Linked DNA regions of Ovis aries. The protein of the gene in region 3 purifies or fractionates together with the protein of the main gene of each other region. This does not show direct contact. Links are inferred from orthologs where the notes say so. Each region holds a gene or a part of one and is shown on either strand. Other genes may lie near its edges.

Region 1 (4,576 bases), on a different chromosome or scaffold from region 3:
AATCCGGGCCTGTAAAATCTTCTAGAGCCTCACCCCGGTACATTAGCACTGTATAGAAAGAGGGGGGAAAAAAGCGGGTATCAGGACTCAACTTTCAAATATTGATTTATCAGGAAACATAACAATCCACTGTAAACAACAATCAAGCTTCTCCATTACTCTCTGAAACCAATCAGCCTCAACTCATATGCTCAGAGCATCTATAGAGCTGTATCGTTATAAATCAGGACATCCCCCTGCAAGTAGGCAGGAAAGAGGTAAACTCAACGCGTTTTTCTCTATGGATAATGCAAACAAAAAGCAATGCGTCCACTGCCACACAGGGCTGGTCTCAAGTGAAACTCTTGGTTCCCTCTCTAATCACCTAGCTTTCAGTCTTTGCTGTTTCATAATTATAAAAAGCTTCATTTTGCAGTTGGGTAAATTCAAGCACAGATGCGACTAGTGTGAGCATGACTACATGCAGTGGTAACAGGTAACTGGGGAGAGCACCCAAGAACCCCCAAGAGGTCAATTAACTTGAACTAACCACTAAAAGGCCCTATCTTTAAGTGGTTGTAACTGCTACTGTGTAACAGTAAACACCTTCCACTTCACTTGCAGTCAAGCTGCTCTGTCAGTATCTGGATAAATTAATGAGAGAGGATATCATACCCAATTATGGATCCAATCACATAAGATAATATCTTCTGAAATCATATAATGTTGAATATATCCAACATTAAGGAGGTTTATTTCTATAAACAAAATCAAAAGTGGGCAAACAGGCTTTGTTTCTATAAGCAAAATGGTAGGTAGCAGGGACAAGCAAAACCATGAGAACTGTCCAGTAGTTACCTTCAGTCTTAACATGCAGGACTTAAACTATATTCGATCTAGAAATTGATAGAAGCGGTATTTTTCTTTTTGTTGGCCAAATTCACACTTCGTCAAATGAGATAACAAATGCAATTAAATAGCAGAGAAAGGGAAGGATGAAACGGAAATAACACTTGTTCTAAAAGCCAACTGGCAATAAGTACCTTAAGATGTATATTTACATACATATTTGAGGGACAAACACAGATTTAAAGGGGGTTATTTGGACTTTGAAGCTGATTATTTTAATACATGTCAGCATTCTAATTCAGATATAATTAGGTGAGAGGCAAAGTTGAAGGTGATGGACAATTTTTAAATTGATAGAGACTGGGGATCCTATCAGAATTGGAAAGAGGAAGATCACTGCAGAGGTATAATAATAAATCAGATGACAACATAATGCACTCTGTGGGGCAGCTATCTGAAAGGCACACAAGGACAGCTAACATGGACACACCTCACTAAACAAACACTTTATGTAAAACAACACGGGACCCAGGCCTGCTCTAGCTGCTGGCTATTGCCTTTGGCTACACTTGTTGGACACATGCCATTCTCCAATTATGTGACACCCATGGGCCCTTCTAACACCATGTCTCCATACTGACGAAGCATTAGAGATGTTATAATTTTCCAGATGACTGGTTTTGAGGTACCCAGGCAAGACAGTGTTTGAAAGCAAAGCATAGCCAACACTGGCCATATCCAACACTGCTTGCTAATAACCTGGACTTACTCTGAGAAAACTGCAGGAAAAACTGATGGAAGTTGCTCCACTTTTGTAACATTTATTTACATCAGTCTTAGGGTTACCTCTAGGAATGGCTTAAACAGATCCAAGACTGCCTCCTTTCTTTCCCCTAATGATGTGGCAGTGCTTCGGTTCTTCCGATTGTGAAATTTGTTTTTGAATAACACTGATTTCAATCTAAATAGCTAAACTGTAGGCTTTGGCCTCAGAAGGAATGTTTTTCTATATGCACTGATTACAACACATGAACAACCTTGTGTGAAATGGTTGTCAGTAAGTTACAAGGTTATTTGAGACCACGACGATGATAGGGGCCCAAGGCAAACACACAGGAAGAGAGCCCAACAATGTAACTGATCAAGGCTCAAGCTGGCTTGGATTTATAAAACCCCTGGGGTATTTATTATTTTCACTTTAACAATCTTCTTCATCTGAGTCTGGGGATCTCTGCCCTTCTCACTATCACCAGCCCACCGCGAATTCGCGGTTAGGGAACAATTCCGCTTCCTGCGCATTAGAGACGACTGGTACCAGGTGGCCGACGCTGAGTCTCGTCCTCTTTCGAGAGACAGATTTTGGCCTTCCCGATGCCCTTCCTTCCGGGCTATTTGCGGGAGCCTTCCAAGCACAGAAATGACAGGACTGAGGAAGAGCCGGGGAGGAGACCTTGGAACACACAGCATGCCTGGACTCCGGGCTCGTCCCAAACCTCAACTCCAATCCCTGCTGAAAAGGCGGTCCGAGCCCCGACTGTGACTGAAGCAGAGGGGCGAAGGGGCTGCGCCAGGGAGGTTTTTCCCAGCCCTAGCAACCTGCGGCAGGGAAGCCGCCCACCGAGTCCCGGCGCATCCGCCCCCGGACTGCACCCAGCGAGGACCCGGCGACGGGGGCAGGAAAGCGCTCGCCGGCAGCGCGCGGAGCCCGGGGCGCGCGGCGCGCAACCCCATCTCCCCTCGGAGCCGGGGCGAGCCGGCGGAGGGGACGTTGCGAGCGGCCCCCGGGGAAACCGGGGGCCACCTCCGAACCCCTCACACCATCCCCCGCCTCCGTCCGCGAAGGAAAAATGAAAGGCTGGCAACAAGTGGGAGGCAGAGACCCCCGCCCCCCCCCACCGCCGAGGCCGGCTGGCCCGGGCGCCCGGAGAGCGGGAGGGGCAGCCGCCGGGACCCGGAGGTCGCCCTCCCCCGCCGCCGGCGCTCCGCCCTCCCGGCCTGCGCCCCCCGGGTCGGCTTGCGGGGCGGCCGCGCTCCCGCCCCCGCGATGCCCGGGCGCCGCCGCCGCCCTCCCGGCACTCACTGCTGCATTCTTGGTCCGCGCAGAGCTTGAGCTGCGAGAAGCGCCGGCCGGGGCCCTGCTCCGGCTGGCCCGGCACCCGCCGAGGCGGCCCGAGCAGGAGCAGCCAGAAGAGCAGCGCCGGCGCCGCAGCCATGTTGTGGTCGCCCCGCGGAGCCGCTGACGCGGAGGACGCGGCCGGGGCGGGCGCCGGCGGGCGGAGCACGGGCCGCGGGGCGGGGCGCGCGGGCGGCGGACGCGCGGCGGCGGGAGGGGCGGCGCCCGCCCCGGCCTGTGAGGCCGCCACCGACACGTCAGCGCGGCCTCGGGGAGGGGACCGCGGGGGTCCCGGAGGAGGAGGACGCGCGCTCCCACCTCCTTGCCGAGGCCTCCTCGTCGGGTGGCTGCCTTGGCAACCGGGACTCTCTCTTCTTCCTCGTCCAATCGCGAGCCTTTGCCTCGGTCCCTGCGTCGCCGACCCTCCGCGAGACTCCATTCCTCGCTCACTCTGCTCTTCCACCTTGCACCCCCCACCCCGCGCCATCCCAACAGCAGGTCTTCTCTGACCCCTTTCTTGCAGCTCCCGATTTCTGGTCCTTCTCAGTCTGGCTCATCCTCACCTCCCCTTCGTGGTTTGATACTTCTTTTTCCTAACTACCAAATCCCACCCACGATTTTCCACTGCTAGTCTCCAGTTCGAGATTCCCTCTTCCGACTCCCAGGAGTTTGGGGGAGCATCCCCATCCTGTGATCTCCTTATGGGAAAAGGAGGGGTCAGCAGAATGATGGGTCGGTGATGTACATTAGAGCCTGTGGCCTGCTTGGCCTTTTTCTGCACCCCTCGTCCCCTAGCCCTGAGGGATGGAGGTGGGCAATGGGTCCCCATGCTTAGATCTTCAGATTCTGGGGGGTTCATCCATAAGAAATTGAAAGTGTTAGTCGCTCAGTCGTGTCCGATTCTTTACGACCCCATAGAATGTAGCCCGCCAGCCTCCTCTGTCCAAGAAGGATACTGTCAAGGCAAGAATGCTGGAGTAGGTAGCCATTCCCTTCTCCAGGGGATCTTCCCCGCTGAGGGACAGAACCAGGGTCTTCTACATTGCAGGCAGATTCTTTACCGTCTGAGCCAGCAGAGAAGCTCTTATCCAGAAGGGGAGAATAATTTAATTCAATGCCAATATGTAGAAATTCCATTTTATGCTACCATTTTAGGCCAGACGCTGGACAAAACACTAGTGTGGTGAAGGCAAACATGTAGATCAACAGACAAGATATCAGGCCTTTGTCTAAAGAAGCCCACAATTCAGGAGAAACCAACTCACATCAAAACGACAAGGAGCCAAAGTTGTTAGGAAGGAAAAGCTAGTTAATAGCGGCTACCATTTGTTGAGTGTTTTCTTTATGTCCAGGTGGTATTCTAAAGTCCTTATAGGTATCAATGTGTTTAATCTTCACAATAATAGTAGGTCCTATTACTGCCTTCATTTTCAAGATGAAGATATTGCATTTGTCTATGGCCAGGGGCTTCTCTCTATAGTCTCTGCCAAGGCTAATCATCAACCAACCCCAAATGCCAATCAAACCCATTAATTAGTTTCCCAAACTGACTGGATTCCTTAAAAGCAAGGGGAAAGAATGTGGTCCATCTATGCAAACCATAATGTTGGATAAAGAAAAAGACGAGAAAGAGTT
Region 2 (4,584 bases), on a different chromosome or scaffold from region 3:
GAGCTCTGGACCACGACCTTTCTCAGGCAGAAAGGCCACATCTGTCACTACAATGCCATGGGCCTCCTTCACATAGTACAGACGCTGGGGACAAGAGGAAAGCTAGTGAGGGAAAGCCCAGTTTGGAAGATTCCTTCTGGAAAACACACCCTCTGCCCCCAGACTTTCCCTCTACAGGCTGGGCCCGACACTTTCGTGCACACTCAGTGAAAAAGAAGGCCTAGAATCTCTACCCCAGAGAGCCCTCAGGGCTGTGCCCAGGTCCATCCATTACCTGGAGCGAGAAAGCTATGTAGATGGCAACAGAGCCAGTGACCGTGCCCAGGCCCAGAAAAGTGCCCGATTCACTGCAACAAAAAAACGCTCACTGTCCTGGAATCCTGTGCAGCAGCAACAGTCTCCAGGGATGTGGGCAGCATGTCTCCCCGGGCTGCCCCGGGCACCCTCATACCCAGCCAAGCCACCACTGTCTCATACCTGACACTAAGGCAGGAGATGACTTCATGGCCACAGGGCCTGGTCCGAAGGGGCAGGAATGTGGAGGCATCCCAGGCTGTGAGGTAGCAGGGCGGGGGCTGGCGCAGACGCTTGTGGGGAATCTGCACCGTGAAGAGTCGCAGACCGGCAGGCTGGTCTGGAACCTGCCCAAACCTGGGGGCCGAGCCAGAGGCTGTTCAGCTCCCGGGGCCTGCCCAGCCCTCCTCAAAGGTCTGTGCCCTCCTGTACCCTGGTCAGGTCTGGGGTAACACCCAACAAGGCTCCGATCCCCTCCCCACCAGCTTCCCCCTGATCCTTTTCCCACTCCCCCACCACATCTAGGCTGTGCCTCTTTCAGCCACCCTCTGGGGTCTTCACACCTGCAGGCCTGGTAGCGATAAGGCGTGTTAGAAAACGTGGGTCCGTTCTCTTGCCAGTGCAGCTGTGTCACCAGCTGATCCTTCTGCCACACGGAGGCCTTAAGGTCCCAGCCCACAGTTACCAACTAGTCAGGGATCAAGATTCCAAGGATGGACAGTTAGGGGGATCCACTTACTGGACAAGCAGCATCATCACCTACTTTCTCCACCCTCTCACCTCCTCACCTTGCCATCAGGCCCCAGAGCTAGGTCTTCAATCTCCCCTTCATGGGCTTTGAACTCCAGAACCTTCTCTAAGGTGGGTACCTGCAGCCAAACCACCACCACAGTCAGCCTACGTACCCGGCAAGAGTGCAAATGATACCCACTCCTCTTCTCTACTAATGGCCACTGAGTGCAGGCTTTACTCACAAGTTTCCCAGGACCCAGGTTCAGTTTCTCACAATTCTGGCCTTGCTGTTACTGACACTCATCCTCTACCTCCCCAAACCACACCTTCCAGACACGAACGCAGCCATCTGTCCCTCCAGTGGCAAGCAAGGTATTATCATGGTTGAAGCACACAACTTTCTGCAGTGGATCACGGCTGAAGTCTGTCTGCACTTCGTGCAAATTCTCTACGCTGAATTCCACCCCCTCCTGGTGGGTTTCAGCGCCAGACTTCTTCTCTGCTGGGGCTGCCCCTTTCCTTTGTCGAGGCCCCTGCTCCTTGGAACCTGCAACACAAACAGCCTGCCAGGTTCCAGGCTTCTAGAATAAGTCCTACTGGCCCTTTCCAGTGGTGAACATCAGCTTCTCTCTTGCTACCATAATCCCACCTCCAGCCCTACTTCTTCAGAGACCAAGATGAGCAAGAATTCATTAATTTAACCCTTTGCCCAAAGCTAGCGGGGAGGCTCTCACCTGCCTTCTCTGCCTTGTTTTTGCCCTTCTGCTGATGGATCTGGAAGCGCAGGAGCTGACAGTGGGCATCCTGCCCTGCAGCAAGGATGTTACCAGCCAGGGCCAAGTTCATGGTGGCCCGTGTCTCTGTGTCATGAGAGTGTAGTAAAGAGGCGCTGAGGCGCCCATTAATCTGCTCCAGCTGCAGAAAGTGCTGTGGGAGAGGGAACCAGGACAAGTAAGGTTCAGAGAGCACCTCAAGGGCAAACTTACATCCTGTAGTCTGAACCTGCATTTTCTAGTTTAAAGACTTTTTCCAAACTTTTTTCTTTTTTGAGCCTCACTCATGTGTACTGGTCTTCGCTGGTGGCTCAGACGGTAAAGAATCTACTGCAATGTAGGAGACCCAGGTTTGATCCCTGGGTTGGGAAGATCCCCTGGAGAAGGGAATGGCTACCCTCTCCAGTATTTTTGCCTGAAGAATTCCATGGAAAGAGAAGCCTGTCGGTCTACAGTCCATGGAGTAGCAGAGTCGGACACGACTGAGCGACTATCACTTTCACTTTTTTTCACTTGCTTGCGTACAGCAAGCAAGGCTGGGATTATCACATCTAGTCTGCAGAACAACATGATAACTCTCAAAAGAGTGAAGAATCTTAGCTTGTATTTCACTCTCGCCGCTACCAGTGGCAGACAGACAAATCTTATGTAGCCTCCCCAAGAAAGCCAGGTTACGATCCCTGGAGTTGATTCCTGAGATCGAATTGAAGCGTTCCTGCCTAGGCAGCGCTGTGTGCAGTTTTCACTTTAGGAGCCTCTCAATTCACCAGTGAATGGTTCAAGACAAATTCGCACCGGGACGCCCGGCACGCCGCGGTTCCCACCCGGGAGGGGCAGGGTCCGAAGCAGGGGTGCGGCCCGCTCCCAGACCTCCGGGAATCGCCCTCAGCCCGCTCTGAGACCCGGCCCCAGCGGGCCTGTATACTCACCACGCCATTCTTTATGCCGGTCTTGGCGGCACCTCCTCCGCCCGCAGCTATGAGCAGCCCCGCGCTGGGGTCGACCCGAAGCGCGTACAACGGGAACGGGGCCCGGTACAGCTCTGGCGTCCGGCGCCGACCCATCCCGCTCGCCGCGCGCTTCACTGTCGGCGCCGAGGTCCCCGGGACATGCCGCGCCCGGCCTTCGACTGCTGTCCCGGCCGCTGTGGACCTTGGTCCGGTAGCTGCCGGGAAGACTCCAGACCCTTCTCACCCGCCGAGCTGCCGAAACTGTAATCACACCGTAAGTGTCCCTAACACTGCCAGGGGCCGTCTAACCCGGTCTCGCAGACGCGCAGCGCGCAGGCGCACCAAGCCCGCTCTCCTCGCGCAGGCGCAGAGCCGCCGATACGCGTCAGCACTAGCCAGCCTGTGGCTGGCGGAACGGGGGTGTATGAATTCCGTTCTCCGCTTTCAGATGATGGCAGAAGACTACGCCATGTTTCTGCGGGGCGGTGGAGGCGGGCGGCCGCTTCACGGAAACGTCTGGCTTGGGGCGGGGGCAGGCCAAAAGATTAAGGGAGGTTAATAAGCCTTTAATAAATCCTCGGATCAGGGCTGTCCACACTTCAAGAGTGACTTGCAGACTCGTCAAGCAATAGCCCTACGTTTACCGCCCCGCCCCGAGACAAAGTGATTCATCCAAGGTCACACTCCTGGCTCTCTTGCCTCTTAAACGGAGGCAGCATGGACTTGAAAAGAAACTTGGCTTCAAATCCCGATGCCACTGCTTCCTAGTATGAGGAAGCTACTCTTTATAATGAACACCAATCCTCCGAAGTTTGCAGAGGTTGGGGCTGGCCATTCTCTATGCCCCCCACCCAGTCCAGGCACCTCAGGGTTCATGGGTAGATAGGCAAGTTGGCCCTCAGGCAGTTGAAGGTCTCTGCCTAGCCCCCATCCTCCTGAGAGGGCCTTTGGGTTTTTGATCTCCATCCAATGTGGGGATTCCCTGTTTCTCTAAAGTGAACCCTTCCCTTCAAGGAAACACCTCCTGCTGCTCCCCTGGCGACATCAGCATGAGTCTTCGTTAATCTGAGGTGCAATCAGAGGAGGGGGCCCAGTGGCTTCATCTCTGGGGATGCCATTAACTGTCCCACCAAATTGAGTTAAATGTTTGAAGGGCCTGGCAGAGCCTTCTGCACCTCTCAGTTGCTCAGGTCTTGTGGGTCCCTTGACCTCTTCAGATATACCGCATGCACTCTCCTTGACCATTCTGTTAACTTTGACTCTCCTGCACCCCTTGTTGGGTTCTGGTCACCCTGAACGTAGAGCCACCCACAGATCTGCTCAGCAAGACTCAAACACAAGTTTTGCAGGGTCAGGCTTTTTTTTTTTTTTAATTGGATACACAGAAGGCTGAGTGGGGCCTGAGATGCCCTTGGTCCTCTTCAGCCAGGAGAAAGCAGACTCCACAAGGGGCTCCCAGGATTCAGGACTGGAGAACACACCTGACCTCCAGCCAGCCAGCCCTTCAGAGTGTCTCGGGGGCTCCCTGAGGTCTGGGGCCGGGCAGGGCTGGTGGGATTCAGAGGAGGTGCTCCAGGGGGCCTCCGTGGCTCTAGAACTAGAGTGGTGACTTTTGGGGAATGGGCCCTGGAGAGGCAGGTCTCTTTGGGGCAGAGGAAGGCCTGGGCTTCAAGTGGACCGTAGCCTGTTTTGGTGCCTGAGTTAGAGACCCTGAATGGCTTGTGGAGTTTAGTGACTGGCGGCCTACAGACCTGAGGCTCCCGTTCTGGGAGAGGGTGCCTGGCCCTAGATCTGCCTGGGCCGGAGCTACTGGGGCTTGAGCTACCTGGGCTTGA
Region 3 (3,809 bases):
CTCCAAAAACAGAGTTAAAATAAACATTTGGTAGTCACCTAAATCTAGCCCCCAGTTTCGATTATTCTTAGAATTCCTCATCAGACAAAATATGAGCAGAATTATATTCCAAATTAAAATAACATTAACCATGAGCTTTCTCATAATAACTAATTACAAGATAAAGCAGAAGTAAAAAAGTACAAACAGAACTATATGTATTTACTTTGGAGCGTACTTTTCTTCCAAGACATTAATGTTATCATGAAAGAAATTCTTTAAAAAAATCACTCCTTCTCCTTAACACATTTTTTACTGATATAAAGGACGGAGGGAGAGAAAAGAGAAAGGTTACAAAAGTCAGAGAAACTATCATTGGGGGAAACTCAATGAAGATACCTGAGACCTCTTTTGTACTGTTCTTACAGTCTTCTGTGAGTCTATATATCAAAACAAGAACAAGATGTTCTTTTTTAAAGTCAAAAGAACTGTTCTGAAAATATACTAAGTGGCTATAGGGAACCTAACTTTTGCTGAGTTTTCATACTGCAACCAGCAACGGCAATAGACTTTGGGATGGTCAAAATTAAAGTACTGTCACCATATGAAGAATCTAAAAAAATGCATCCTAAGGCGTTCATTTATATAACACTCAATTTTCCAACTACTCACCCATCCATTTGATCGGCTTACAGTACAGGGGAAAACAGGCATGGAAAGAATTATGACGCAGTATGAAGACTGCTATGGTCGTGGTGGTGGTTTAGTTGCTAAGTCATGTCCGATTCATGTGACCCCTTGGACTGTAGCCCACCAGGCTCCTCTGTCCATGGGATTTCCCAGGCAAGAATACTGGAGTGGGTTGCCATTTCCTTCTCCAGGGGATCTTCCTGAACCAGGGATCAAACATGCGTATCCTGCATTGCAGGTGAGTCCCCACACTGCAGGCAGATTCTTTACCACTGAGCCACCAGGGAAGCCAAAGACTGCTATGATGTACAACACACAAAAAGAACAGAGGTGAGGAAGGCTGAAAGTCTATCTATCTGAGGCGCTGAAGACAGATTTACTGAAATGGAGCTATCCTAGCTGACAAAACCACGAGGGATAGTGAGAGAGGAAAAGAATGTTACACAAGTATATAAAGAGTATTATAACAGCACATGGGGAACTAAAAGGATATACCAGAGCCAGTCGTCATTTTCAGTAAAAGAAGATGAGTTATGACTTAATACCTAGGTACGCATCATTTTCTGAGTCACTCTTCATTTCCAATTCCAAGTTATCATCGTCTGCAATGTCTTCACCAAGCACAGCAGTCCAGTCTTTCATCTTTCGTAAGCGCTCTGTCAGAGACTTGACATTTACCAAAGGGGGAAACAAAAGAGGGTAATGCCTTATGCTGGCTTTATAACCTCTGAATGCACAACCGTAGTCTAAAAATTAATCCACACAGATAAAAGTACATGAGCTCTTACTCTCTACCCAGCATAAAATATGTAAATGCTCTCAGAAACTAACATTTATTTACTATTAAGGTGTACAAGTTAAAAATAACAACTGGTTACTCTTAAATCAAATATGAAAAGTGAAAACTGAAAGTGTCAGTCGCTCAGTCAGGTCCGACTCTTCGTGACCCCATGGACTGTAATTCTCCAGGCAACAATACTGGACTGGGTAGCCATTCATTTCTCTAGTGATCTTCCAACTCAGGTCTCCTGCATTGCAGGTGGATTCCTTACCGTCTGAGCTACGAAGAAAGCCCAAATCAAATAAATATAATACCTAGTAATGGCCCATTTTTTCTAAACGTACCACATGACTATACAGTAACAAAATATTTCTTACATGGTATTTCTCACCAGCCACAGTAAGAGTAGTCATTAACGTGAGAGTAAATTTTGTGTGAAGTTAAACAAATCCCCAAGTAACGTACATGATATATGAAAAAAGAGATTTCACAGATTCAATTTATTCAAGTAAACAACTAGCCGAGGGAATCAACTGACACAACTGACAAATAGAAAAAGAAATTGTAAAACAGAATCTAAGTTGGAACATCAGAGGTTTTGCTACAGTACTTTTTGAATTTTCTTAGAGAGGCTCCTCTGTCCATGGGATTCTCTAAGCAAGAATACTGGAATGGGTTGCCATGCCCTCTTCCAGGGGACTGTCCCAACCCAGGGATCGAGCCCAGGTCTCCTGCAATGGCAGGTGGATTCTTTATTGTTGAGACACTGAGGAAGCCCCAAAAACATCCTTAGTAGTGAAGTAAATAGTGTAAATGTATAGCTTTCAAGATGACATCATCCACTTCACTATGCAGGTTACAGAATGTTAGTTGTACATCTTATTAGTTAATACAATAAACAATATTTGAGTATCTATTAAGATTTAAAAGTGTAGGCAGGAAAAACTGGTAGAAGGGAGAGATAAGAAGTAGGAAAAAATCAATAAATCATAACAGTAATACCAATTATCTTATTCCTAATGGAGTTAAAGTACAATTAGATTTACTTAAAATATTCATCTCTGTAAAAGTACATATACCAGTTAATCTAGGCATTAAAGATATTCATATTTATATTCAATGCATATAATTTCATTTGTCCAATTTATAAAATTCTTTCCAACTCTTCTCATTAAGAAAAAAGATGGCAATCTTAAGATAAAAGCCAAAATCCAAAATCTTTTGTCTTTCTTCATTAAATATCTAGGCTAAAACAGAAGAGAGAAGAAAAAAGGACACAGAGAATGTGTGTGTGTGTGTATGTGTGTATACACACTACAAATCTACAAGTTTTCAAAGAACATTTGGCAACACGGATAAAAACACAGTACAACTAGTAATGTTTGCCAAAAAGTACATCTCCTCAAAATAAAAGCTGCTAAAAACAAAACTTTTTATATTTCAAAATTAGTATAAAGTTTTAGCTTAACTCAGTCATTAAACTAGCAGGGCTGTTTACCTTAATCTGATTTTCTTTATCACACAGAACTTGTTCCATATGTACTTTGGAGTCTTCAAATGTTATTTTCTGTTTATTAAGCTCATTCACTTGTTCTCTCCATTCTTCAGCTTCTTGTAAAAGCTAAAATTTAAGCCCCAAAGAAGAAGAAAAGCAACTCTTATTATCTCATCATATTTATATGCAGGTACACTTATTCATGGGCTTCTCTTGTGGCTCAGCTGGTAAAGAATACACCTGCAAAGCGGGAGATCTGTGTTCCATTCCTGGGTTGGGAAGATCCCCTGGAGAAGGGAAAGGTTACCCACTCCAGTATTCTGGCCTGGAGAATTCCATGGACTGTACAGTCCATGGGGTCACAAAGAGTTGGACACAACTGAGCGACTTTCACTTTCACACTTATGTATATAAGGTGTATCATTAAAAGAACCTCACAAAAAGAGGAAGTAATTCATATTATTGCATCAAACTCAGGTGCAGATGCACTTATTTATATATACCTAGGTGCACCACTAATAAATAGGCTTCCCCGGTGGCTCAGTGGTAAAGAATTTGCCTGCCAGTGAAGGAGGCCTGGGTTTGGTCCCTGGGTTGGGAAGATCCCTTGGCGACAGAAATGGCAACCCACTCCAATATTCTTGCCTGGGAAATGCGATGGACAGAAGAGCCTGGTGGGCTAGAGTCCATGGAGTTCCAAAGAGTCCAACACAACTTAGCAACTGAGCACGCATGCACCACTAATAAATATTATGCAACGCAGTGTGTTGCTAGGAAGAGTGAGGAAAAATGAGGTGGTGGGGAAGAAGGAGTGTCATGAAGAAAGGAGGGAAGGGAGGAAGGGCTCCTTTTTTCAAAGAACTT

The links. The genes of interacting proteins can lie anywhere in the genome.
Region 1: the proteins of MIA2 (region 3) and MIA3 purify together in Homo sapiens (affinity purification with western blotting; 6 studies listed by BioGRID and IntAct, counting the BioPlex papers as one, with this or other methods). This does not show direct contact. The link is inferred for Ovis aries from reciprocal best matches to the Homo sapiens genes MIA2 and MIA3.
Region 2: the proteins of MIA2 (region 3) and PREB purify together in Homo sapiens (affinity purification with western blotting; 3 studies listed by BioGRID and IntAct, with this or other methods). This does not show direct contact. The link is inferred for Ovis aries from reciprocal best matches to the Homo sapiens genes MIA2 and PREB.

Annotation. Positions count from the first base shown.
Region 1 is NC_056065.1:25,332,940-25,337,515, reverse strand, and holds the start of MIA3 (transport and Golgi organization protein 1 homolog), read right to left. Parts: upstream 3,067-4,576; 5' UTR 3,042-3,066; coding exon 2,909-3,041; intron 49-2,908; coding exon 1-48.
Region 2 is NC_056056.1:34,211,552-34,216,135, forward strand, and holds the start of PREB (prolactin regulatory element-binding protein), read right to left. Parts: upstream 3,067-4,584; 5' UTR 2,864-3,066; coding exon 2,729-2,863; intron 1,954-2,728; coding exon 1,761-1,953; intron 1,574-1,760; coding exon 1,353-1,573; intron 1,164-1,352; coding exon 1,083-1,163; intron 983-1,082; coding exon 858-982; intron 652-857; coding exon 478-651; intron 348-477; coding exon 275-347; intron 85-274; coding exon 1-84. Other genes in the region: PRR30 (proline-rich protein 30), read right to left, coding at 4,347-4,584.
Region 3 is NC_056071.1:46,982,657-46,986,465, reverse strand, and holds part of MIA2 (melanoma inhibitory activity protein 2), read right to left. Parts: intron 3,072-3,809; coding exon 2,949-3,071; intron 1,730-2,948; coding exon of another isoform or gene 1,718-1,729; exon of another isoform or gene 1,484-1,717; intron 1,336-1,483; coding exon 1,215-1,335; intron 1-1,214. UniProt on the Homo sapiens protein: Plays a role in the transport of cargos that are too large to fit into COPII-coated vesicles and require specific mechanisms to be incorporated into membrane-bound carriers and exported from the endoplasmic reticulum.